Macaca mulatta: one gene and its partners. The protein of the gene in region 1 interacts with the protein of each later gene in a biochemical or structural test. Links are inferred from orthologs where the notes say so. Each region holds a gene or a part of one and is shown in the gene's direction. Other genes may lie near its edges.

The links.
Region 2: the proteins of UBE2I (region 1) and ZNF451 form a complex in vitro, tested with the Homo sapiens proteins (2 studies listed by BioGRID and IntAct, with this or other methods). The link is inferred for Macaca mulatta from reciprocal best matches to the Homo sapiens genes UBE2I and ZNF451.
Region 3: of the proteins of UBE2I (region 1) and NFKBIA, one has a biochemical effect on the other in vitro, tested with the Homo sapiens proteins (2 studies listed by BioGRID). The link is inferred for Macaca mulatta from reciprocal best matches to the Homo sapiens genes UBE2I and NFKBIA.
Region 4: the proteins of UBE2I (region 1) and TOP2B form a complex in vitro, tested with the Homo sapiens proteins (2 studies listed by BioGRID, with this or other methods). The link is inferred for Macaca mulatta from reciprocal best matches to the Homo sapiens genes UBE2I and TOP2B.
Region 5: of the proteins of UBE2I (region 1) and DAXX, one has a biochemical effect on the other in vitro, tested with the Homo sapiens proteins (5 studies listed by BioGRID and IntAct, with this or other methods). The link is inferred for Macaca mulatta from reciprocal best matches to the Homo sapiens genes UBE2I and DAXX.
Region 6: of the proteins of UBE2I (region 1) and ELK1, one has a biochemical effect on the other in vitro, tested with the Homo sapiens proteins (3 studies listed by BioGRID and IntAct, with this or other methods). The link is inferred for Macaca mulatta from reciprocal best matches to the Homo sapiens genes UBE2I and ELK1.
Region 7: of the proteins of UBE2I (region 1) and PPARG, one has a biochemical effect on the other in vitro, tested with the Homo sapiens proteins (2 studies listed by BioGRID). The link is inferred for Macaca mulatta from reciprocal best matches to the Homo sapiens genes UBE2I and PPARG.

What each region holds. Positions count from the first base shown.
Region 1 is NC_133425.1:2,512,388-2,516,687, forward strand, and holds the start of UBE2I (SUMO-conjugating enzyme UBC9), read left to right. Parts: upstream 1-1,500; 5' UTR 1,501-1,670; intron 1,671-3,035; 5' UTR 3,036-3,046; coding exon 3,047-3,112; intron 3,113-3,304; coding exon 3,305-3,388; intron 3,389-4,300. UniProt on the Homo sapiens protein: Accepts the ubiquitin-like proteins SUMO1, SUMO2, SUMO3, SUMO4 and SUMO1P1/SUMO5 from the UBLE1A-UBLE1B E1 complex and catalyzes their covalent attachment to other proteins with the help of an E3 ligase such as RANBP2, CBX4 and ZNF451.
Region 2 is NC_133409.1:125,191,066-125,194,311, reverse strand, and holds the start of ZNF451 (E3 SUMO-protein ligase ZNF451), read left to right. Parts: upstream 1-1,500; 5' UTR 1,501-2,246; coding exon 2,247-2,282; intron 2,283-3,246. UniProt on the Homo sapiens protein: E3 SUMO-protein ligase; has a preference for SUMO2 and SUMO3 and facilitates UBE2I/UBC9-mediated sumoylation of target proteins. Plays a role in protein SUMO2 modification in response to stress caused by DNA damage and by proteasome inhibitors (in vitro).
Region 3 is NC_133412.1:108,520,589-108,524,865, reverse strand, and holds the start of NFKBIA (NF-kappa-B inhibitor alpha), read left to right. Parts: upstream 1-1,477; 5' UTR 1,478-1,567; coding exon 1,568-1,794; intron 1,795-2,404; coding exon 2,405-2,513; intron 2,514-2,840; coding exon 2,841-3,051; intron 3,052-3,341; coding exon 3,342-3,430; intron 3,431-3,537; coding exon 3,538-3,807; intron 3,808-4,177; coding exon 4,178-4,225; 3' UTR 4,226-4,277. UniProt on the Homo sapiens protein: Inhibits the activity of dimeric NF-kappa-B/REL complexes by trapping REL (RELA/p65 and NFKB1/p50) dimers in the cytoplasm by masking their nuclear localization signals.
Region 4 is NC_133407.1:22,873,951-22,877,450, forward strand, and holds part of TOP2B (DNA topoisomerase 2-beta), read left to right. Parts: intron 1-711; coding exon 712-837; intron 838-2,410; coding exon 2,411-2,505; intron 2,506-3,500. UniProt on the Homo sapiens protein: Key decatenating enzyme that alters DNA topology by binding to two double-stranded DNA molecules, generating a double-stranded break in one of the strands, passing the intact strand through the broken strand, and religating the broken strand.
Region 5 is NC_133409.1:148,970,417-148,972,498, forward strand, and holds the end of DAXX (death domain-associated protein 6), read left to right. Parts: coding exon 1-145; intron 146-299; coding exon 300-765; intron 766-925; coding exon 926-1,148; intron 1,149-1,340; coding exon 1,341-1,400; 3' UTR 1,401-1,582; downstream 1,583-2,082. UniProt on the Homo sapiens protein: Transcription corepressor known to repress transcriptional potential of several sumoylated transcription factors. Down-regulates basal and activated transcription.
Region 6 is NC_133426.1:47,662,166-47,666,320, reverse strand, and holds the start of ELK1 (ETS domain-containing protein Elk-1), read left to right. Parts: upstream 1-1,355; coding exon 1,356-1,565; intron 1,566-3,463; coding exon 3,464-3,907; intron 3,908-4,155. UniProt on the Homo sapiens protein: Transcription factor that binds to purine-rich DNA sequences. Forms a ternary complex with SRF and the ETS and SRF motifs of the serum response element (SRE) on the promoter region of immediate early genes such as FOS and IER2.
Region 7 is NC_133407.1:151,232,491-151,235,990, forward strand, and holds part of PPARG (peroxisome proliferator-activated receptor gamma), read left to right. Parts: intron 1-2,294; coding exon 2,295-2,745; intron 2,746-3,500. UniProt on the Homo sapiens protein: Nuclear receptor that binds peroxisome proliferators such as hypolipidemic drugs and fatty acids.

The sequences.
Region 1 (4,300 bases):
GAGATGAGTGCGGTGGAGTTGTGAGAGGTGAGTGCTTTGCTCACCCTCAGCCAGGAAGTTGCTCGGAAGTCGGTGCTGTCAACCAGCAGAGCAAGGTGGTGATCCGAGAAGCTAAAGCTCAGCCGGTCGCGGGTGCCCAGCAGGACAGAAGGCAGACCTTCAGGCCACTCCTGGAGTGCTTGGCCCTGTCCTGGTTGCTGCAGTGTCTGGGCCTTGCTTGGCTCTGATAGATGAGGGTTGTTTTTGTCTTTGCCTCATATAAGTTCCCTGCTCTGAAGGGTCTAGTAACTGCTAGCCATTCACTTAGTGCTTATCTGTTAATTTGGAAGGGCAAATTCGATTTTCAGCGGGATTTTGAATGCTTCGTCTGTGTTGTGATTACATTGTAACACATTGGCCACTTTCTCCAGGAGGCCAGTAGGAGGGGGAGCAGGGGGAGGGGCCTGGCTTCTGCCTAGGACAGGGTGGGTGTGCACCTGTGGCTCCTTGCCCTGTGGTGCAGTTTCCTGTGAGACCACCCTGTGGTGCTGAGTGCTTTGGGGCAGGGGATACAGCAGCATCAGCCAGACCTTGGCGGGAGGTCTCACAGGAGCACCCTCACGACTTCTCACATCTGAGACAGCAATAGCTAGGTGCTGGGACGGGGGCCTCTAGGTGGCTCTGTCCGGTCTTCAGTAGGAGGGCTACCTGTGGCAGGGTTCCAGGCCTGGCTGGCCTCTCTGGGGCTGGCCTCTCTGGGGCCTGGCCTTGCCTGGCTGTGAGGATCGTGTTGGCCTTGGTCCTTCAGTGTCTGGAGCACTGGCCTGGGGCTTCAGAGACCTGCTTGATTCCTGGCCCCGCTCAGACCCCGGGCACCTGGGAGGTCGTGGCTCCTCAAAACGGCCGTTCACCAGGCTGCTTTGCACCGCACCAGGCACAGGCTGTGGCTACTCATGAAGCCCACCCTGGGGCTGGGGAAGCGAGAGCTGTGAGTCCTCAAGCCACAACTGAGCTGCTCCATGTGGAAGTGGAGGGTGGAGACACGTGCAGAGAGAGCCTTGAAACCGTGGTTGGCGGGAGCTCCACTCCACTCTGGGCTCGAACCCTGCCTGCCCACAGCTGAGCCCAGCTGTGTCCCCCACTTTCTCCCTTTCTGGCCCCTGGCTTCCCCCCACCCCCACTTAGAGAAGGGCATGGGGATGGGCAAGTGGTCCAGAGGGCAGGCGGCCTGCGGGCTCCTCCGCATCCCTGTGAGGAGGGCATGGGGAGGGACATCCCGGTGGGGCCCAGTCTGGGGCTACCTGTCTTGGACTTAATCGTGTAGCTGGAGGCCAGTGCCCGGATGGCCCCTGTCACCCTCTCGCTGTGATGCCAGCACCTACTGACTGGAGGACCCGGGTTCCTTTGCCTGATTTTTCTCAGGCTGCCCTGAGGATCCGTGTTTGGTTAAAAAGGAGCCAAATCCACCTGCAGGGCAGGCGGCTCTAGCAGCCCCGCCTGGCTTCCAGCACCCTGGTTCCCTGGCGACACTGGACCCGCCTGGGCTTCCTTGATCCCAGCCCCACCCCTGATTTCTGCTTTGCTGCCTCGGGAAGCCATCGTGCCGCCCAAAACCCGAATGTGGGCCTCTCGGAGCTCCTTCCTCAATGAGTCTGCTGGGGACTGGGCCTTGCCTCCCTAACAAGTGCCAGGTGAGGCTGCGGCGGCTCTGGCCCAGGTGGAGCTGCTGACCTGGCCCCTTCCTGCAGCTGTGAGGTGTGTGAGGTTCGTGGGCCTGCACAGGTGCGGGCGCCATCCAGGTCACCAGGGCCCTTGTAGGGACGGCCCCCCACGGTTTGGAAGGCCTGGCGCAACCCCCAGCTTTGTCGAGGTGGCCCTTGCTTGGCGCTGAGATGCCAGACTTGGAGGCAGCTTCAGTGTTCCCGTGGACTTTGAAAACCAGCACACACTTGGGCTTGAATTCTCTGGCAGGTTTTGTGCCCTGAGTGCTGTTTTTCATGGTAAAGGTGACCACCAGTAGGGTGACAGGTGAGGCTGGTGTCGAGGCTGCTGGCCCTGTTTGCCTGGTGTCCCCGGGGACAGTGCGGGCCGACAGGCTCCCGCTGGGAACCAGAAGGCAAAGGTGCCAAGCCCCTGAGGTCCCGTGGAGAAGTGTGGAGCTGGAATCTGGCGTGTGTGCCGCTGCCTCTGACCAGGGACCTGGTCCCGTACCCCATGCTCCTGCCCTGCCCCACAGGACCCGTCTGTCCCCTGAAGCCACAGGGACATGCTAGCGGCTGCAGGGTCCGGGAACGGTGGCCCTGTGGGGGGCTCCTCTTTCAGCGAGGCTGAGCCTCTGCCCTGTGGTACTTGTTCCACTCTGTCTTCAACACGGTGAAACCCCATCTCTATTAAAAATACAAAAATTAGCCGGGCATGGTGGCGGGGGCCTGTAGTCCCAGCTACCCGGGAGGCTGAGGCAGGAGAATTGCTTGAACTCAAGAAACGGAGGTTGCAATGAGCCGAGATAGTGCCACTGCACTCCAGCCTGAGGGACAGAGTGAGACTCCATCTCAAAAAAAAAAAAAAAAACAATATTAGGTGTCCCCCTGGCCCGGCTTGAGTCTCAGTTCTGAGCGCCTGATAGTAAGGCGGGGACCCAGATAGTAAGGCTGGGACCCAGCCCTGCCTAGTCCCCACCTGACGGTTCAGTGAGGACCCTGCCACGCCAGCCACCACAGGGTGGCAGCTACCGCCCAGCCACAGCAGCCCAGCCTCTGAACATCCGTCTCCACCGTGGAGCAGAGGCCGCGGCACGTGTCGCAGACCAGGGCTCGGGGGGCCCATGGGGAAGGGGTCCTACCTGTCCCCCCACCCCCGGTGATCTGGGATCCACTCATGAGGCCTCCCCTGGTAGACCCCGGGGTCGGACGACGGCTTCCAGGAGGAGAGTCTCTGCTGGGCTGGGCTGGCGCCTGTTAGGAGCAAGACTGCCCACTGCGGGCCGTGTGCACGTGGCGGGGCCGCAGGAGCCCGCTAGCCTGTCCTGACCCCGTGCTCTGCCTCCTGTGTTCCAGGGACTCTGAACATGTCGGGGATCGCCCTCAGCAGACTCGCCCAGGAGAGGAAAGCATGGAGGAAAGACCACCCGTTTGTAAGGAGGGCTTCGTTTCCGTGTGCAGTGCCGCGGACGGCCCCCCTGGGCTGAAACCGTGCCCCCCACCACTGGGAGGGAGCTGGCCGCGTGCCTGGGTCGCGCTGGTGGGGCTCGCGGGCCGGTTCTCGGTGGTTTTGGTCAAACGAGATGCCACCGCACTGATGTGCTTTTGTGGTTGTTTTCTCTCAGGGTTTCGTGGCTGTCCCAACAAAAAATCCCGATGGCACGATGAACCTCATGAACTGGGAGTGCGCCATTCCAGGAAAGAAAGGGGTAAGAGGCGCGCGCTGCTAGCCTCCTGCCTGTCGGGGCTCAACAGATGCGTGTGGCAACGCCACGGGGAAACTGCTCAGCCCCTGCCGTCTGTGACGGCCGCCCTTGTCACGGGCTGCGGACAACAGGTCAGATCCCCAGCTGTGGCCTGGCCCCCGCCCCGTGCGGACTTGAGCTCAGAAGGTGGTGCTGGCAAGGTTGGGGTGACAGCTGTGTCCCCACCGAGGGCATTTCTGGTTGAGAAGGAAGCAGGCTGGGCACAGGGCTGAGCTGTGGCAGAGGGGAGGGGCTCTGGTGTGTGTTGGGAGCAGGCCTGAGGGCGGGCAGCCTTTGCAGGCTGGAACCCGGGATTCTGCTGTGTCCTTCCAGGTGTGGCTCAGGTCACGGTAGCTGGGTTTGCTGGAGAGCCACCCTGGCGTAAAGCCGCCTCCTGGAGAACCTCCTGGGGCACAGGGACTGGCGACAGCAGCCTAGGATGCCTGCTTGGGGCCCCCTGTGTGTCTGTGGGGAGCAGGGCGGCCTGTGTGCCTGTCGTCTTTGCCCGGCTCCCGTGAAGCACTTGGCCGGGGACTCCAGGCTGGTGTGCACATAAGGTTCATGCTGGTGAACCCTGAAGGAAGGAGAGAGCCCTGAGGTGCTGGTCCTGCCCGAGGCCTTGTTCCCTCCGGCCCATGCCACCCTCTGGGTTTCACTCTGAAACTCAAAGCAGCTTCGGTCCCCCTGAGCTGAGCAGTCCCAGCAGGTCTCAGCTTTGCCTGAGACATGGTGTCACTTGGGTTTGTCGCTTGTCTGAGGCTCTGCTGAGAACGTCCCTTGCTCTTCACGTCACGGCGACGCAGGTGTGCGGCCCCGAGGAAGACGGGAGTGGTGTCGGATTGTGGGGTGGCAAAGGCGCCTCATCCAGGCAGGATC
Region 2 (3,246 bases), on another chromosome or scaffold:
ACCCAGAGAATGCCTGAATCTAAGGTGCCATCCTCTGAGAATCATCGCCCAGAAATGTGCTCTAGCTGCAGTGTTCCTCTTCCCATTGGAGATAGCAGCTCCTTCTCTGGGAGTTGTTCCAGCAGTCCAGAAAGGATAGTTTCTCAAACTTCCTCTGTTGAGAACCCATTGGAGAACCAGAAAAATGATCAAAATAATTCAGATACTAAGATCTCTGAGACAGAGACCCTTAAATCGTCACAGAATTTTCAGACTCTGCCTTCATCTCCACTTCTGGTCCCCCAAGAATCTTTGGCCTCTTCTGAGGTCAAAGAGAATTTATGTATAGATTCTTCTTCAGCTTCACAGCATGGACGGGATGCCATCCTCTATCTCCAGACACAAGTAGCTGAAATGTCCCGAGTGATACGTGATCTGCAGTCCAGGAGCTGTTTTAGATTTCATCATTCTAGGCCAAGTGAGAACTCCTCAGTTCCTTGGGACATCTCCACCTCTAAGGAGGAAAATTTATCCACAGTTGAAGAAGAAACTGATTACAAATCACCATCAGCTGATGACAAAGGGCAGCCATCTGACCCCAGCCAATCTAGTTTCACAGGTCTTTTGAAGAGAATGGAACAAAGAGGTGTTATAAAAAGGGTGACATTACAATCTGAAGCAGAGTCATGTGAAGGGAAACCTGATTGTGTGACTTCTAAAAAACGTTTGGTTCCTCCATTGCATCCTCTTCTGAGAATTGCCACCACTGAGGTTTTTAAAGACCCTGCTGATTGCCATCCTTCTTCCTTCATGGGACACAGGGTATATCCTGTGGCCAAGGACACCTCTCCTTTCCAACCAAACCCACCAGCTGAAGGCCCCATTGTAGAAGCATTAGAACACAGCAAAAGAGGAAATACAACATCCCCTCTAGATTCTACCTCAAAAGAAATGGAGGTCATGGGTTGTAGGTTTTACCATGCTGCCTCCATTGCAGCCCGAGCTGCTAGCTACATGGCTTATATGACTCAATATCAGCGTAAACTCTGGGAAGACATGGAAGATCTGGTTCATGACCCAGAGTTTGATCGTGGAAAAGCAAGATGTATAATATCTGATGGTATGGATGCAGGCCTTTGGCAACTTTGTACTACTAGGGACATAATGGATTCTGTAGTCAGAGTTATGGCCATGGCCATAGACTATAGAAGGCAGGCCTGGCTTCGACTTACATCTCTTACTAAGAAAACCCAGGAGAAGATCTCCCACTTGCCCTTTGATGGTACTTCCCTTTTTGGACAAGATGTAAAAGCTGTTGTTGCAGAAGAGAACAGTATAAAAGAAAATGACTATAAAGATCACAAATACTATAATCAGCATCGATACTTTTATAGTCATGATCAGAAAGCACATTATCACAATAGAGGATACTCCAAAGGGGATTGGTACAAACCTCGAAACCACCCCTATAGATATAGAAAGAAGGGAGACTCTCCAGAACGCCATGGGTACAAGAATTAATAACCTGTTTTATGTTCAGCAGAATAGTCATTCAAGATCCTATTTTACTTGTTCCTCCTCGTACAAATAGGATCTACAGGTAGGAGATCATCTCAAAAACTGAATGCATGTCTGGAATGATCACAGCTGACATTTGAATTGTAGACTTTTGAAATGAGGTATAAAATAAACTCATGACTTACTGACCAAGTGAGCAGTGGAGACTTTCTTGAAAGGGTTGGACAAATGTTTATCCTTTATTTCTGGTCCAAAAATAAGTTTGGAGGAGGGCCACTCAGGAATCTGAATCCTCTTGTGATTAAAGAAAAATATAAAGATTTGTTCCTCAGGAAAATCTTATCTGTAAACTGAGGACTAGCAGATATTTTGAATCTAGAAATAACCTAATACTAGATCTCTGTTTACTAAGACCAGAGGTAAATCCTTCATTTTTAGGTTATCAGTGCTTCCTTGTTCAGGCTTCAGTTTGACAGATCTTCACAAAATGACACATCTGTTAAAATGTCTTTATGTCAAGATGGTCAACTCACCAAGAGTTCATACTACTGTCAAGCTCTGTGAGACTTCAGAATCAGCCATGAAGCTTTGTGTCAACTGGAATTCAAGTCAAATTTTGCCAAATCCAGTTTGCTTCCCCTTGGAATGGCTAGATGTCACAGGTCTTCTATGGACACCAACTGGAAAAAGACTTCTACCTATAACATCTCTGTAGAAATTGCACAGTAACTATCTTCATCAAGACTTTGATGGCCACCATACCATCACTACTCATAAAGCTACATGTGAGAGAGTTCTTTGTTGTCATCAGTCCTAATAGTCTTTGACCTATCAAGCTCTCATATCAAGTTGTAAGACTGAGTCATGGTAGTCTCTCACTGTAAGCTGGGCCTTTCACCAAGATGGCCTTCTTAAACAACCTACCTTCTAAACATTTAATTCTTTTGAGCTTGATAGTGCATCACACTCTAAATACAAAAAAGATACGCACATCAGTGCCCTGGAAATAAAGGATGTTACACGATCCAGGCATGAAAATCTGAACTCCTAAGAGCAAGAATTCCAAACATGCCTGACAATCTTCTCCCCTTACTGTAATAAAGAGGGATACCATCAGTCTAGATTTTATTGGGAATCCTTAAGATTTAAAGCATAGCTGTGGATTTAGTGAAGAGAACATGATATCCATTAAGGATTTGAAAGGCTGAAATCAAGACTTCAGTGATACATTCTTGGTTACTTGGTTACTTAATTTAGTCAGATTCTTAGTGTAAGAGACAGCTTATCTTTTTGCTCCCAGTTGATCCCAGTAATAGTTTTTCACCGTACTGGAACTGGCAGCAGATACCTCAGTTATATGTCCCACAGTATCTTCTCTTTAGACTCAAGGTAGTGGATGTGTGGTATATCAGCCCTTAGATCCATGTCTTCACAGCATGACATCAGGAATGGAGAATATGTCAAGTTTGAGGGGTCTGAATACATCACCTAGTATTATTTGCTTGGCAGCCAAAACCAGTTGTTTTTCTTTTAATTGACAGACTTAATTCTGTAACTTCTGTGTTTTTTCATCTGCTTGGTCGAGGCATTTTGGATATACTACTAATTGAATATGGCACTGTTTTATGGTGTATGTGGCTTCTTGCCATAGTTGTTGCACAGTGGTAATTGACATTTTCTCTGGTGCCACGATTTTTAATAGTTTATTGGAAGCTCCTTCCTCCTCCCCCATCATAACTATATTCAGCA
Region 3 (4,277 bases), on another chromosome or scaffold:
GTGGAGATTTGAAGAGAGGGGAAGGATTGGTTAGTACATGGCCAGTCAAGGTAAAGATGATTGCAATCATCACCAGAAATCTCTGCAGAACTACAGAGGGCTCCTGGGACTAATTCTGAAGAGCTCTGACCGAAGTGTGCTTTATTTTGCCTGTACCAATTCTACCAAGTAGATGAATTCAGTCCATGGCTTGCAGGCTTGGAGGTGGAGGTGGGATGGAGAGCATAAATTACATTTCTGCAGGTGAAACCAGAGCATAGTGAGCCAAAACCCCTTTCTACCTGGGTGGCATGAATGGGTCCAACTGCTACTATCCCCCAGGACGAGGGAGCAAGGCGGGGGGGGGGCAGGATGGGAGGATGGGGCTGCCTTGAGCCTCCTGCAGGATGACTGGCAACTACTTTCTTAGCGGTCCTTAAGGTCCAATCGCGGTTAAGGCACTAACTAAACTCATTCTTCAGCCTCCTTCTCTAAGTGCTCCTCGAATTGCTCAGTTTAGATGCCCAGAAGTAGGCTCAGGATCCATTCTCTGCGGCAGCACAATGTAGGTCAGATAGCATGAATGCAACAGCTACTTATGAACACAATAGCTACTCTGTTATTGCAAGGTATCCACAACCACCACTACAAAGATTAACACCTTGCTTTACTTGGGGGGAAAAAAAAAAATCATGGTCCTATTCAGCAGTTTCCCCATACAGGGAGAGTTTGCCCCTCCCCCACTCAACAAGGCTGTTCATCCCTAGGAAGTGATTGGAAGTGATTTGAGAGTTTTCCAAAGATTTAGGCTTTCCACTCCTCCAAAGCTTTCACAGTTCTACCTGGCAGAGGTGCGTGGGGGGTAGGGGAGGAAGGGCGCGAAGCTAAACGTCCCCGTTCTGCAATGAGCCTGATATTAGCAGAAACACAAGAGCGGCCTGCAGCCCCATAACCACAGTGCGTCCTTCCCCTTAGAAGTCTGGGGAAAGAAAATCCCTACGCCCAGCCATCATTTCCACTCTTGCGTTTTCAAAAGATCAAAAAACGGAAAGGACCGGCAGGTTGGCAAACCCCAAAGAGGGACCGCCCATCATGTCGGCGTCCTTGGGATCTCAGCAGCCGACGACCCCAATTCAAATCGATCGTGGGAAACCCCAGGGAAAGAAGGTTCACTTGCAGAGAGACAGGATTACAGGGTGCAGGCTGCAGGGAAGTACCGCGGGGAAGGGGGCCTGGTCGGAAGGACTTTCCAGCCACTTGGCACTCATCAAAAAGTTCCCTGTCCGTGACCCCAGTGGCTCATCGCAGGGAGTTTCTCCGACGAACCCCAGCTCAGGGTTTAGGCTTCTTTTTCCCCCTAGCAAAGGACGAAGCCAGTTCTCTTTTCTGGTCTGACTGGCTTGGAAATTCCCCGCGCCTGACCCCGCCCCAGAGAAATCCCCAGCCAGCGTTTATAGGGCGCCGCGGCGGCGCTGCAGAGCCCACACCAGCCCGTGCCGCCGTCCCGCCCGCCAGCGCCCTAGCGAGGAAGCAGCGCGCAGCCCGCGGCCCAGCGCACCCGCAGCAGCGCCCGCAGCTCGCCCGCGCCATGTTCCAGGCGGCCGAGCGCCCCCAGGAGTGGGCCATGGAGGGTCCCCGCGACGGGCTGAAGAAGGAACGACTGCTGGACGACCGCCACGACAGCGGCCTGGACTCCATGAAGGATGAGGAGTACGAGCAGATGGTCAAGGAGCTGCAGGAGATCCGCCTCGAGCCGCAGGAGGTGCCGCGCGGCGCGGAGCCCTGGAAGCAGCAGCTCACCGAGGACGGGGACTCGTAAGTGGCGCAGACCCGGAGCCGGGGGTCCTCGGGAGGGCCGGATGCGCGCGGCCGGGGAGTGGGAGACGCCGGGCCTGGAGCCCGACCTGGGGAACTAGCGATGCAGCCGGGCTGGCGCCGCGGCGCCCCGGGGCTCCTGCACCGCCCCGAACGCTGCAGGGCTGCAGGGCCGCGCGGGGCACCGGCCCGACTCGGAGGGGCGGCGGCTGGGCCCTGGTGGACGGCAGCGTCGCCACACGCCCCCTCCCCCCAGGCCTGTCCTCTAGGCCGGGGGCGGGGCGGCAGCTGGGACGCGAAGTCCCCGGTTGCATAAGGCGTTTCTGGCCGCTGGCGGGCGCCGAGCAGCCGGGAGGGGAAGTACAGGGCGTTCCGAGCTGGCGGGAGGGCGGGGCGGTCTGGCCGGCGCCCGCCGGGGCCGCGGGGGGAGGGGGGCGGAAAGTCCCTGGGCGCCTGCCAGGAACACTCAGCTCATAATAACCTCGCGGAAAACACCGCGGCCTCGGCCTCCAGAAACCCCGGCCTTGCGCAATCCCCCGCAGCCCGCGCCTCCCTGGGCCCCACGCGGTGCACTCACCACCCCTGGGGTTTTTCCCTCTCTTCCCCACAGGTTTCTGCACTTGGCCATCATCCATGAAGAAAAGGCACTGACCATGGAAGTGATCCGCCAGGTGAAGGGAGACCTGGCCTTCCTCAACTTCCAGAACAACCTGCAGCAGGTGCGCCGCTTGCCTGGCCCGGGCTCTCTAACTCTGGGATGGAACTGATGTAGCAAAGTCACCCCAGATCCTTTCTGAATTCAGGGCCACTGGGCATTATTCACCCTCACCTTTTACTTCACGTCAGCCCACATCCTAGAGAGTGAAGGAAATTCCACTGATTTGGTGAGGTCTTTGTGACCCACCTGGAGTCTCTGCTATTTGCCAGTCCTCCCCACCCGCCTGTCCAGGAGGAGCAGCACCCAACCAGGAGACACGGGTTCAGGGGAACTCAGGGTGTGGGTTTGGTCCCTGGCTTACTTTCTCTGGTCTCTCCTGCATTCGTAGACTCCACTCCACTTGGCTGTGATCACCAACCAGCCAGAAATTGCTGAGGCACTTCTGGGAGCTGGCTGTGATCCTGAGCTCCGAGACTTTCGAGGAAATACCCCCCTACACCTTGCCTGTGAGCAGGGCTGCTTGGCCAGCGTGGGAGTCCTGACTCAGTCCTGCACCACCCCGCACCTCCACTCCATCCTGAAGGCTACTAACTACAATGGTATGTCTGCCTCCCTGCCCTGCCCCACCCCCTCAGGTGGCAGGTGATGTGGAGAAGGGGCAGGTGGGCCAACTTAAGGAGTCGAGGCAAGAACTTAAACTGCCAGCATTTGAAAGGTTGAGAAAATACGTGTGCAAAGTGCCTGTTGGATGCCTTTATAAAGTTCCTTCAGAACCCAGACGGTGGGTTCTTAAAATTCAGAAGATATGACTATTTGTCCCATAAAAGAATAGGTGAAAGGAGTGAGGGTTGAAACAGGTGGTTATACTTTTTTCGTTTTGTTCTTCCAGGCCACACGTGTCTGCACTTAGCCTCTATCCATGGCTACCTGGGCATTGTGGAGCTTTTGGTGTCCTTGGGTGCTGATGTCAATGCTCAGGTTAGTGCTTCCTGCCTCCGATGCACTGAGTCAAGTTCCCCGTGCTCATGTTGTGAGCAGAAATTCCAAACGCAGCCATAAGCATCTCAAATTCCTTTTGGTTTCAGGAGCCCTGTAACGGCCGGACTGCCCTTCACCTCGCAGTGGACCTGCAGAATCCTGACCTGGTGTCGCTCCTGTTGAAGTGTGGGGCTGATGTCAACAGAGTTACCTACCAGGGCTATTCTCCCTACCAGCTCACCTGGGGCCGCCCAAGCACCCGGATACAGCAGCAGCTGGGCCAGCTGACACTGGAAAACCTTCAGATGCTGCCGGAGAGTGAGGATGAGGAGAGCTATGACACAGAGTCAGAGTTCACGGAGTTCACGGAGGATGAGGTGAGTCTGTGAACTCCTTGGGCTCTCTAACTAATGAGGGACCATTCCCTTCACCCTCCCGGGCCCCTAGAACTGCTCCTTATCAGAGGGGTATCTACATAATGAGTCTCTCAAATTTCTGTGCATAACCAGTATCCCAATAATGTACCTTTTTTTTTTTTTAAAATAGCTTACCCTTTTTTAAAGAAAAGCATTTTTTAAAACATTTTTAAAATGGGAGTTAAAGGCAAACTCCCTCAGCCTGTAAAGTTCATTGTATTTGGGCTATGGAGAATGGAGTCCAAGGGTTATTTCCAGTAGCGGCCTCCCCATCCCAGTGGCTTGGCAGAGCTTCGGAAGTTTAATGTGTCTTCTTTCCCCTTGTTTTCAGCTGCCCTATGACGACTGTGTGTTTGGAGGCCAGCGTCTGACATTATGAGCGCAAAGGGGCTGAAAGAACATGGACTTGTATATTTGTACAAAAAAAAGTT
Region 4 (3,500 bases), on another chromosome or scaffold:
AGTTGGTTTCTATTCATTGTATTTGAGGATCCCATACATTTTTTTTTTCTCTAAAACATTCTAAAAGGACTTGATCTGTGGTTATACTTGGGTTATAATTAATTTATCAAATATGCTACTCTTTTGTCATGACTATATTTAAAAGTTACTGCTTAATTTATTTTTAATGGCTCTTCCTTAAAATGTCTTAATTGTATTACCTAAGGGCAAATTATACATAATTAAATAAAAAGCATTTTGTCATCTATGAGAAATTGTTTGCCTTTACATTGCCGCCAAGCAGAGAGAAACCATTTCATTAAGGCGACTCAATTTTTTTTTTTTGAGATGGAGTTTTGCTCTTGTTGCCCAGCCTGGAGTACAGTGGCGTGATCTCAGCTCACTGTGACCTTCTGGGTTCAAGCGATTCTCTTGCCTCAGCCTCCCAAGTAGCTGGGATTACAGGCACCCACCACCATGCCCAGCTAATTTTTGCATTTTTAGTAGAGATGGGGTTTCACCATGTTGGCCAGGCTGGTCTTGAACTGCTGATCTCAGGTGATCCACCCAACTTGGTGTCCCAAAGTGCTGGGATTACAGGTGTGAGCCACCGCGCCCAGCCAGGCAACTCAGTTTCTAATCAGCTATGAGAAATTCCATTTATATAGGACTCTCTTCAGTTTGATTTGTTGGTAAGTATATTGACCTGTGAAATGGAAATTTGCTTACTAGGAAAACCGTCTTCAGATACAGCCCCTAAGCCCAAGAGAGCCCCCAAACAGAAGAAAGTAGTAGAGGCTGTAAACTCTGACTCAGATTCAGAATTTGGCGTTCCAAAGAAGACTACAACACCAAAAGGTGAGGATTATCTTCTTATAACCCTTTAAACATATACTGTATGGAAAAGATGGAATTTTTTCTACCTCATTGAATTTAGAGAGGCTAGGTATCTATTTTGTTTTAAATTGCTTTACTCCTCAGTAAGGGGTGTGTCTAGGAATCAGTGCTGAATATAGTCCAAAGGAGGTATAGCAATTTAGTTCAGTCACTTTGTTTTACAAATTAAAAAAACTGAGGCTCAAAGAGGTTAAATAAGAATCCCTAAGAATGGTCCAAATTCTCCCCTGCAGCCAACTCACTGAAAGTTGTTATTAAAAAGTCAGATTAGCACTCCACACTAACTAAACTGTGACACTTATTGTAATGGGCTAGATCCAGGACTCTTAGGCTAGAACTTTTTTTCTCACCTAAGAAATAACTGTACTCAGGACCACACAAGGAACCAGCTCCAGTTCTCCGTGGCATCCCTTCTTTGTCTCCAGAATCTGGAAAGCCCTTAAAGATGCTTTATAAAATATGTTTGTAAGACATGATATGCTCTGAGGGTAGCTGCTCCATCTTTTATTCAACTGAAGGATATCTTCCTCGGTGTGGCTCTTCTATTTCTTAAAGGAGTGGTTGGGATAAGGAGCTGTGGACCAAAGGGAAATGGGGATAATAGGGTGGAAAAGAATCATAGGGACTGGGAAGGTAGTACTCATGATATGCAGGATTGAAAGCCTTTATCAATTCAAAAATGCTATTTCCCTGATTAATTTGATCAAATATGACATGCCAAGATTATGTAAGGCTATCTTTGTACTTGTCCAATCTAGCTGTCAAGGAATTTTTAAAGATTTAAAATTAATTGCTATTTAGTTCTATTTTATTTCATTGGCATCATTGTGGGATGGAGAACATCTGGCCCCTACTTAAATATTACCTTTTCTCCTTTCACCTCCAATGATGAGAATAAGAGGTTAGGTAGATGAAAAAAATGCTGCATGTGCCAAGTCTAGGTCTGAGAAGGAATATGTATTTGACATTTTATAGTCAATACTGGTGGTTCTCAGATGGTGCCACTCAACGTGGGATATGCAATTGGTTGTTACTAGTCTTTGATAAGTAAAACTGAGTAAACATTTAGACCTTGATGATAATTTTGTGTTAATAAAACAGCATGTGATTACATTTTTTAGTAATTTGTGTTCTATTGTATTTTTAAAAGTATTGGCCCATGACAAATTAGAAATTAAAAAAAAAAATTTAAATCACATGTAATTTAAAAAATACTTTTCCAAGGTATTTCCTTTTCAGGCTCAAGGACCACATAGCAAATACAGATGTTTTATGTATGAAGGGATTCATCATTAAAATTTGTCTTTGGGACTTTCCCATTAATTTAAATATATTTGTGAAAAAGTCTTTGGTCATGTCAATCCCAGAATTGAAATGCTACTGCCAAGTTGTTTATAATCACTCATAGTAAGAGATTAGGACTGCAGTGTTCCACTGATTGGGCATGCCAAAGAAATAAACTACAATGTTGTGGCATTTATCTTTTTATATTGCACTTACCCATGGAAGAAAAAACCTTTTGTATCATTTTAAGGTAAAGGCCGAGGGGCAAAGAAAAGGAAAGCATCTGGCTCTGAAAATGAAGGCGACTATAACCCTGGCAGGAAAACATCCAAAACAGCAAGCAAGGTAACTGGGAACATCATTGCACATTAGTGCATGGCTTTTAAAAAAAAGATCTGTAACTGACTTAGTTTGCTTATTACTACAGTCCTGGAACAGCTTTCCACCTAGCATCTCATATCAATATGGGGCTTGTATATGGTTAAGGAATTATTCAAGTATAAATGTATATAATCAGGACTAGTTTCTAAATAACAGTGTGCTATAAATTAACCTACTTAGAATCTTCCATTTCATCCATTGAGCTATAGTACTGTTATGTTACCTAAATATTAGACTCTTTCAGACTAAAATATTATTTTTCAGACTAAAGACTGTTTCCTGTTAACTTGGATTTATTTGACCAGGGCTAATTTGATTTTTTTTTTAATTGAATTTATTTGACTGTGGCTAATTTTCCCAATTAGTCTGACCCTTTTCCAGAAGTACACTATTTTTTTTTTGGTAAATGAATGACATCAGCTACCTCCATCCCTTTTTTTCTCTTCCTAGTAAAACTTAAAAATACCAATGTAGATGATCATAGCTTTATGTTGATTTCCACACTGACCTTTTCCATCCAGTCATCTTCTGTGTCTCAGGTCCACCTCGGTGATGCTTTGCATGTTTTAAAACACTTAACAGTGCATACTCCACGTGGTGCGGGAGTCTTGTTTCCTCCCATGAATTCTTGATACGTACTTAGCAATAGGACAGCTTGAATTTTTACTAATCTGGGCATTGTGCATACTTTTTGGGTAAAATATAATTTTAGAAATATAAGTGTTACATTTTTCAGGCTAGAACTTGGTAAATATGAAACCACCAAGGTAGCGAATTACTGTATGTAATCTTTTTCCTCCAAAAAATAAGGTAACTGGTCTTAAACTTAGGTTAGCATTACAACTCTAATTTTAAAAGTTCCATGATTTGTAATACTTCCTAAACATAAGTGAAGTTTAAGGAGTGATAGTTCTTCATACTAGTCTTTATTTCTTTTAATAACTTTTAAATCTAATCTA
Region 5 (2,082 bases), on another chromosome or scaffold:
GAGGAAGAGGAGGAGGATGAGGAGGAGGAGGAGGAAGAAGAAGAAGAGGAGGAGGCCACAGATTCTGAAGAGGAGGAGGATCTGGAACAGATGCAGGAGGGTCAGGAGGACGATGAAGAGGAGGAGGAAGAGGAAGAAGCAGCAGGTATGTCAAGGGAACATTCTCCTCACCTGTCATTTGTTTTTGTTAGGCATAAGCCACCTGTTTGAGACCTTTCCCTTCCTCCTCCTAGTGTCCTCTCAGCAGTATTTTTTCCCCTCATTCTCGGGCTACCCTCTCCCCTTTTCTTCTTTTCCAGGTAAAGATGGAGACGGGAGCCCCATGTCCTCACCACAGATCTCCACTGAAAAGAACCTGGAACCTGGCAAACAGATCAGCAGGTCTTCAGGGGAGCAGCAAAACAAAGTGTCACCCTTGTTACTGTCAGAAGAACCCCTGGCCCCCTCCAGCATAGATGCTGAAAGCAATGGAGAACAGCCTGAGGAGCTGACCCTGGAGGAAGAAAGCCCTGTGTCTCAGCTCTTTGAGCTAGAGATTGAAGCTTTGCCCCTGGATACCCCTTCCTCTGTGGAGATGGACATTTCCTCTTCCAGGAAGCAATCAGAGGAGCCCTTCACCACTGTCTTAGAGAATGGGGCAGGCATGGTCTCTTCTACTTCCTTCAATGGAGGCGTCTCTCCTCACAACTGGGGAGATTCTGGTCCCCCCTGCAAAAAATCTCGGAAGGAGAAGAAGCAAACAGGATCAGGGCCATTAGGAAACAGGTAATAACAACAGGAGGAGGAAGAGGGAAGCCAAGGAGGGATTGCAGGGGACTTTCGGAGAGGAATATTGGGGAACTGAGTCTGCTGGGAGAGACTGGACTGCCCTCCTCCAGCCTCAGTCTTCCCTTACCCCTCCGCATATTTATGTTTCGGTTTCTAGCTATGTGGAAAGGCAAAGGTCAGTGCATGAGAAGAATGGGAAAAAGATATGTACCCTGCCCAGCCCACCTTCCCCCTTGGCTTCCTTGGCTCCGGTTGCTGATTCCTCCACGAGGGTGGACTCTCCCAGCCATGGCCTGGTGACCAGCTCCCTCTGCATCCCTTCTCCAGCCCAGCTGTCCCAAACCCCCCAATCACAACCTCCTCGGCCCAGTACTTACAAGGTAAGAAGGGGAGGCCGTGTTTCCTCTGATAATTTGTTCTCTTTCATTGTCTGTTTCAGCTGCTCTGTCTGAATATTGCACCTGCCACATCCTGTCTCTTTTTCCCACCCGTTTTATCCTGTAAATCCTCCTGTCTGTTTCTTTTCTCCTGTACTCTAGATCTCTGACTCTTTGTCTCTGACTTCCCTGCAGACAAGTGTGGCCACACAATGCGATCCAGAAGAGATCATCGTGCTCTCAGACTCTGATTAGCTGCCTCCCCTTCTCCCTGCCTCCAGAATGTTTTGGGATAGCATGTGGAGGAATGTGGGAAGCAGATGACTGAGGAAGGGATGGACTAAGCTAATCCCCTTTTGGTGGTGTTTCTTTAAAAAAAAAAAAAAAGCTTAAGTTTTACACAGAAACATTAATAATAAAGTTCTTTTCTTACTGTATCACTGTCTTTTTCTTGTCCTTCTACTGTTACAGATTGGCATTAGCTGTCCCCTTGCTCAGGGTTAGCCCAATATCCCCGGGGTAGTCCCGATCTGTCCTTTCTAGCCTGGTCTTTTGTTGTTGTTGTCTCGCTGTGTCGCCCAGGCCAGAGTGCAGTGGTGCGATCACAGCTCACTGCAGCCTGGACCTCCCAGTCTCAAGTGATAATGCCCCAGTCTCCCGAGTAGCCGGGACTACAGGCGCGTGCCACCATACCTGGCTAATTTTTTGTTTTTGTTGTTTGTATTTTTTGTAGAGACAGGGTTTCGCCATGTTGTTCAGGCTGTACTTTTTTTTTTTTTTTAAGTGCTTCAGCCGCCTTAACGCACTTTACTTTTTCACTTCGTGCAGTAGGAGTGAAAAAGCCAATGAGGGGCCGACTCAAGGTTATTTGGCCAATCCAGGCCCGGAGAAAGGGGGCGGGGCTTCAGGGGGCTGTAAGGAGCTAGGAAAAGGGCGA
Region 6 (4,155 bases), on another chromosome or scaffold:
TGAAAAACTTAACATTTATATGGTAGAATTTATATGGTATGTAGAAGATACAGATAACACTCAAATAAGGGGGATGGAACTAATTTTCTATTCTTGCTGTAATAAATTATCACAAATTTAGCTGCTTAAAATAACATATTTGTGGCTGGGTGCAATGGCTCACGCCTGTAATCCCAGCACTTTGGGAGGCCAAGGCAGGTGGATCACAAGATCGGGAGTTCGAGACCATCCTGCCTAACACAGTGAAACCCCGTCTCTATTAAAAATACAAAAAAAACTAGCCAGGCGTGGTGACGGGCACCTGTAGTCCCAGCTACTCGGGAGGCTGAGGCAGGAGAATGGCGTGAACCCGGGAGGTGGAGCTTGCAGTGAGCCAAAATGGCGCCACTGCACTCCAGCCTGGGTGACAGAGCGAGACTCCGTCTCAAAAAAAAAAATTTTTTTTTTAAATAATGAGTTATATTTATAGCTGTTATACCTGTTGACCTGAGGAGAATTTTGAGAGTCCACAGAAAAAAAAAAAAATTGTTATAGGTCAGAAGTCCCATACTGGTCTCAGTGGGCTGAAATCAAGGTATTGGCAGGGTTGTGTTCCTTCTGGAGGCTCTAGGGGAAAATCCATTTCCTGCTCATTCAAGTTGTTGGCAGAATCCAATTCCTTGAGGTCGTAGGACTGAATTCCCTGTTTCTTTACTGTCTATCAGCTGATGGCCATTCCCAGCTTTAAGAGGCTACCCACAGTCCTTGGCTCTGAGCCCCCTTCCTCCATCTTCAAAGCCAACAATGGCAGGTTGAGTCCCTCTCACATTTTGAATCTCCCCTGCCTCTTCTGTCATCACATCTCTGAGCTACCTTTCTTTCTTCATCATCTGCTTTTCAGAGCTCATATGATTAGATTGAATTTAATCAAATAATCCAGAAATAATCTCCCTGTCTTAAGGTTTGTAACCTTAATTTCATCTGCAAAGTTCTTTTCTGCTACGTAGTATAAATAACATACAGGTTCCAAGGATTAGGATGTGGAACAGGGGTGGCATCATCTGGCCTACCACAGTCTGCCCTCTGACCGCCACAGATTCACATTTGTCCCACAGGCAAAATACATTCACACCATCCTAAGATACTCATGAGTTGTATCCCATCACAGGGAGCATCCCAAGCTGGATTGGGGAGCTAGAAGTTAGTCTGGGAATGTTTAGGGAATGATGGTAGGGTTTGAGGACAGAGATGGAGAAAAGATGACAAAAAAAGGAATCCTCCTCCCCCTGACCTCTGCCCCTCCTATGTCCACAGCCTCTCAACTCAGCTGTTTGCCCTCCAGGTACCCCTGGGATGGCGTGAGCACTCCCCCAGCGATGGACCCATCTGTGACGCTGTGGCAGTTTCTGCTGCAGCTGCTGAGAGAGCAAGGCAATGGCCACATCATCTCCTGGACTTCACGGGATGGTGGTGAATTCAAGCTGGTGGATGCAGAGGAGGTGGCCCGGCTGTGGGGGCTACGCAAGAACAAGACCAACATGAATTACGACAAGCTCAGCCGGGCCTTGCGGTACTACTATGACAAGGTACAGTCTCTCAGACCAGGGCTGGGACCCCCCCTAACATTTATGTCAGAGATTTTATTTTGTTTTGATTGCCATAGCTATGACTTTGAAAACAATGTTAAAATTTATCAGTTTTTAACCCATCCATTGGTACTGTCAGGCCAGTATTGGGCCCCTAAGCACTATCTCACCTACTTTCTTGTCTTACTGCTTTGGCAAAAACCATCATTGCATTATTAATACTGACTCCTACTCCCACTCTGAGATCCCCACAGTGATGCTGCCCTGCCATGCGCATTTCATTTTCGTGTCATATTCCTATAGCCAACATTTTGAAAACATGGTTAATAATGGCTGGTCCTCATTCTGTCCTCTGGAAGCCCTAGACCAGTGCTGGGCTTCCCTAGTTATTTCATAATCTTCTCTTATTCCAGAATATTTCATATTCCTAGAATCAAAACCTCCCTGACAGTATTATACCAACTTTTGCTTACTTTGTCCTCTGGGACCCCAACATTTTTAACCAATTATTTTCTTATTCCTTAAGCTAAAACCTCTGTAACAACATGTTTAGTACCAGCTTCCACACCCTATCTTCTTAAATTCCCAGAGCAGCACTGGTCTACCCCAATATTTATATCAATTGTTTTCATTATCTTATTCCTACAGCTAAAATTTAAAATTTCCCCCATTCTGCCCTCTCAGACCCCCAGGCCACTGCTGGGTTTCCCCTCCCCCCAATATTTATACAAGTTATTTCATCTTCTTATTCCTCCTGCTGAAACTTCCAAACAATATTCATGAATATCCCTTTTCGTTCCTCTTTTGAGAAACACGGGCCCACCCTGTGACATATCTGACCAGCACTAAGACTTCCGCAGAATGCCCTAGTGCTCCCACACTCCTCTTGCCCGTGCCCCCAAGAACAGCCCTGGACCTATGCTGCATACCCTTCATAGTTTATGGCATTTATTCCACTTTCATATTTTATTCCTTGAGCTCAACCCTCCAGAACAATATTAGTAATGAGGCTCCCTCACTGTGCCCTCTGGGAACGCTAGGTCATCTCTGAGACCCACCAGACCTGAAAAACCCCAAACATGCTCTGTGACCCACCCAAGCCAGCCTTGATATAGGCCCTCTCCCAATATTTATACCAGTATTTTTAATATTCTTGTCTAATTGCTGTTAGTTACTTCATTTTCTTACCGCTTTAGCTTCAACCTCCACAGTGGTATTAATAATGAGGCCTCCTCGCCCTCTCCTCTGCAGTGACCTTGCCCTATTCCACTTCTGTGTCATTAGCTTCAAATAATCCTCTGTATTAATAATTCATCGCCCCATCCATCTATATTAATTTACTTTCTTCCAACATTTATATCAGTTACTTCATTTTCTTGTCTTACTGCATTTGCTAGTCTCCAAAACTGTGTCCTGACAGTCACCCACAAGGCCTGGCCTGTGAACCCCTGGTTCTTGGAGCCAAGAAGACTTGCTCCCACACCTACTACCTTCCCTTCACGGGCCCCATTGTGAAGAGGAGCCACAGTGTGGAGGGGGTGGGAAAATCAGATAGATAGACCTGGAGAGTGACAGAGGGAGGCTTGGAAAGGGGTGGATGGGAAGGGGCTTAAAGAAAGAATTGTTGTGGAGAGAAGAGAGAAAGGGGAGGAACTAGGGAGGGGTATAGATAAGGGGAATCTAGGGGGAGAGGAAAGAGGTAGAAACCAACGGGAGAGGAAATGGGCTGATAGGCTGAGAGGGGAACTTACAGAGGAGGGACAGGAAAGCCAGAGAGGGGCAAGTGGGAAGAGAGCCACTAGGAGAAGAGAAACACCACTCCACCCCAACATACACACACCCTGCCTCCAGCCTGCCCCTTTCCTCTCAGGCCCTCTGTTCCTCTCCTCCCTTTCTAGAACATCATCCGCAAGGTGAGCGGCCAGAAGTTCGTCTACAAGTTTGTGTCCTATCCTGAGGTCGCAGGGTGCTCCACTGAGGACTGCCCGCCCCAGCCAGAGGTGTCTGTTACCTCCGCCATGCCAAATGTGGCCCCTGCTGCTGTACATGCCACCCCAGGGGACACTGCCTCTGGAAAGCCAGGCACACCCAAGGGTGCAGGAATGGCAGGCCCGGGTGGTTTGGCACGCAGCAGCCGGAACGAGTACATGCGTTCGGGCCTCTATTCCACCTTCACCATCCAGTCTCTGCAGCCACAGCCACCCCCTCATCCTCGGCCTGCTGTGGTGCTCCCCAATGCAGCTCCTGCAGGAGCAGCAGCGCCCCCCTCGGGGAGCAGGAGCACCAGTCCAAGCCCCTTGGAGGCCTGCCTGGAGGCTGAGGAAGCCGGCTTGCCTCTGCAGGTAAGGACTGGAATATAGAAATCCAGTAAGAGGAGGCAGTAAAGAGGACGGATGTGTAATCCCCGGATGATGAGGGAGGCTGGTAGAAGAGACATAGTGCTCCTGTTAAAGGAGATAATGGTGGAAGGAAGAACACAGACATCCTCTTAGAAGGAGGGATGGGACAGAGAGCTACACAAACCCTGAGACAGAAAGGGGAGAATACTGTGCTACAGTTAGTAGCTGCCGAACATGTAGGTGCCTGAAAT
Region 7 (3,500 bases), on another chromosome or scaffold:
GAGTTCAAGACCAGCCCGGGCAACATAGCAAGACCTCATCTCAAAAAATGAAATAATTTTTTTTTTTAGAAAAAGAAAGTCAGTATTTCATTAATATATATTATAATACACTATAAAATGCCTGTAGAACAAAGAAACACGTTTTTTCTAGGTTCTGTGACAGCATCATTATCCATTCAAATTTTTCTCATAATTAGAACCTGACATTCTGGAAAAATACAGTAAATTTTCATTGATGTTACTTGCTCTGCCCCCCTTTTATTTCTCCCATTAATAATATTAATCCTGAAAAGAAGAAAAGAAAAAGGAAAAAAACCACCCAAGCGAAATGTTTAAGAAATACGGTACGGACAGTTTGGTCCCTTGAAAAATTAGAGCCACCAGGTAAACCTGTTCTGGGGTCCTCACATCTGTCCCCTTTTGGAGTTTGGTAAGTAGTACAGTTGAAGTGAATTTTTTTGTAACAAAAGTAAAAACTTCCAGAATAACTCCAGTAAAGGGTGTTGACGTGACGTACAAGTTTGGAAATATATTTAACATCTGAGAGTCCTTAATGTTGGTGTTACTTCCTCCAGTATAGAACAAACTTAATCTTTTGATGAAAATCATAGAGTTCCATAGATATGAATAGAATCTCCAACCGGTGCATCTTGAAGCCAGCTGCCACGGCCACTCATGCACCTTCTCTGTGCCCATTCAGGAGAGAATTCTCAACATCTCTGCTCAAAACAGTGTTTACTTTTAGTCTATCAGAGACTTCATGTTTGTTGTGCATGCACACTCACAGCTCTCCACACACATGCCCACTCCCCACACACATCCTGCTTCTGAGAAATACAACTAGAATTTCCTCTGGAGAAGAGGTGGAAACCCCTGATTGAGAAATTTAAGGCCTAGGAAAGGTAAATGACTTTTCTTAAGTCGCATAGTTCACCACAGAACCAAAGCTAGAATGCAGATACCCTCAGCTCTTCTTCCAGTGCTTTCAGGTATACAAGTATTTGAACAGGATTCAAGGTTTAACTCCTTATGTGTCTTTCAGTGTATCCGGTGTAAGTAAAATGTTGCCCCTTAGAGCAGCCTTGAGAATTTCTCAATGACTACAGACTTTGGTTAGTTCTATACAAGGGAAGTGAGAGAGAGATAATGTCATGACCAAATGACTTAACTTTTGAAAGCAGCCTATTGCAAACTTAAATAACTGGGGCATGTATTTTATTGATTGACCTGTAAGGACAGATATTTTAAAATGTAAATTCAAAACTGTTTTTTGCAGCATTCACCTATAGGCCTTCTATATCTGCTCTTTGTGAAATAGATGGCTTCCAGAGCATTAAAAAAAGAAATAGACATTTTCTTGGTTCAATAGCTCTAATCTGCTTTCAGAGTGATTTTTTAATAGTTAAGCATATTTTATGTGCACATAGTTTCATTTGCGATCTGAGAGGATTTCATCTAAAACTGAAAAGTTATTACTCGTGAAGGAGAACAAAGGAAAAGGAAAAAAAAAGTTTAAGAAAAAAAAATTGTTTTAAGCCTCTAAAGTTGCTTTATGTTCAAGTGGGTATTTTCAACCCTGAGTTGCTGAAATGATTTTTTATTGAAAGAAGGTTAAAAGTGTATTTCATTGAAAGCCAAGATAAACAGTAGATTTTGTATCATTTTAAAAATCAACAATTGGCTGGGCATGGTGACTCACGCCTGGAATCCCAGCACTTTGGGAGGCCAAGGCGGGCAGATCACTTGAGGCCAGGAGTTCAAGACCAGCCTGGCCAACATGGTGAAAACCTGTCTCTACTAAAAATACAAAAACCAGCCGAGCGTGACAGTGTGTGCCTGTAATCCCAGCTACCCAGGAGGCTGAGGCATGAGAATTGTTTAAACCTGGGAGGTGGAGGTTGCAGTGAACCCTGATTGTGCCACTGTAATTCAGGCTGGGCAGCAGAGCAAGACTCTGTCTCAAAAACAAACAAAATAAATAAATAAATATAAAAATCAACAGTGAAGACTCCCCAAACAAAAGAAATTGGGATTCTTAGCCAGTCATAGGTAAAGTGTTACAGTGTAAATTAAAGGGAAAGAAGACCAAAATTGGTGAAATTTGTTTGGTCCCAGAAGATAATTAAGATGAATAAAAGAACTTGAGAGTATTTTCTCATTATTAAGCATCTTCAGCTTTAAAGATTTTAGTTAGCAAAGCAAGTTTACATAAAGAAACAGTTTTCTGAACTGGGATGGCATTCACTAAGTTAGAAATCTCCAAGTCACCCATGTTTTCCCTGTTTTATTTGCAGCCATTCGTTATCTATGACATGAATTCCTTAATGATGGGAGAAGATAAAATCAAGTTCAAACACATCACCCCGCTGCAGGAGCAGAGCAAAGAGGTGGCCATCCGCATCTTTCAGGGCTGCCAGTTTCGCTCCGTGGAGGCTGTGCAGGAGATCACAGAGTATGCCAAAAGCATTCCTGGTTTCGTAAATCTTGACTTGAACGACCAAGTAACTCTCCTCAAATATGGAGTCCATGAGATCATTTATACAATGCTGGCCTCCTTGATGAATAAAGATGGGGTTCTCATATCCGAGGGCCAAGGCTTCATGACAAGGGAATTTCTAAAAAGCCTGCGAAAGCCTTTTGGTGACTTTATGGAGCCCAAGTTTGAGTTTGCTGTGAAGTTCAATGCACTGGAATTAGATGACAGCGACTTGGCAATATTTATTGCTGTCATTATTCTCAGTGGAGGTAAGATTTGTCTTTTGATCCTCTATGAAAGAGGGTGGGATGATGGTGGGATGGCCAAAAGAATTTTGGATTTCCTTATTAGTCTGCGTTCTTTGTCGCTTTAAGTGCCAATGGCATAATGCCATGAATCACCTCTACACGTGCAAAACACTGTACCAAGAAAGAGTATCATAAGTTTGCAGTATGAAAGTTATGAGTAACCCAGGATCTTCTCTTTCTTCCCTCAACAATATAGTTTTTCCAATCAAATGCCCTCTTCTTTTTCTTTTCTTTCTCTCTTTCTTTCCTTTCCAGAAAGGAAGATTAGAGGCCAATCTAATCTTTGGTTCCTGTAAGTAATGGCATGTATAACTTTGCTTAAGACAATGCTTACTTGACGTAGAGAAGGAACTACTAAGTGTTTCTGGTCAAATCATGCTCCTGCCCTTCCAACAGTAAGATACTACTTTGAATTGCTTTCGTGATATCAGGAATTAAGGCATACCTACTGACCTCCACCCACTCTCTTGTGTGGATTCCTCTGATGGCTTCCCTTCAAAATACCTTTGTGAGGTAGTTGGTTGTGATTAAGAATGCAATCTGAACCGAACACACAACATAGAAATAAATTTAGTTATTTAGCAATTTGTTGTATTTTTGGCCCTGCAAGTACATGATCTGACTAACCAGTTCCAAAAGCCAGATTTTTTACTGAGTGTGGCTTTTTTTTCCTTTCCTTTTTTTTTTTTTTTTTTTTTTTTTGTGAGACAGGGCCT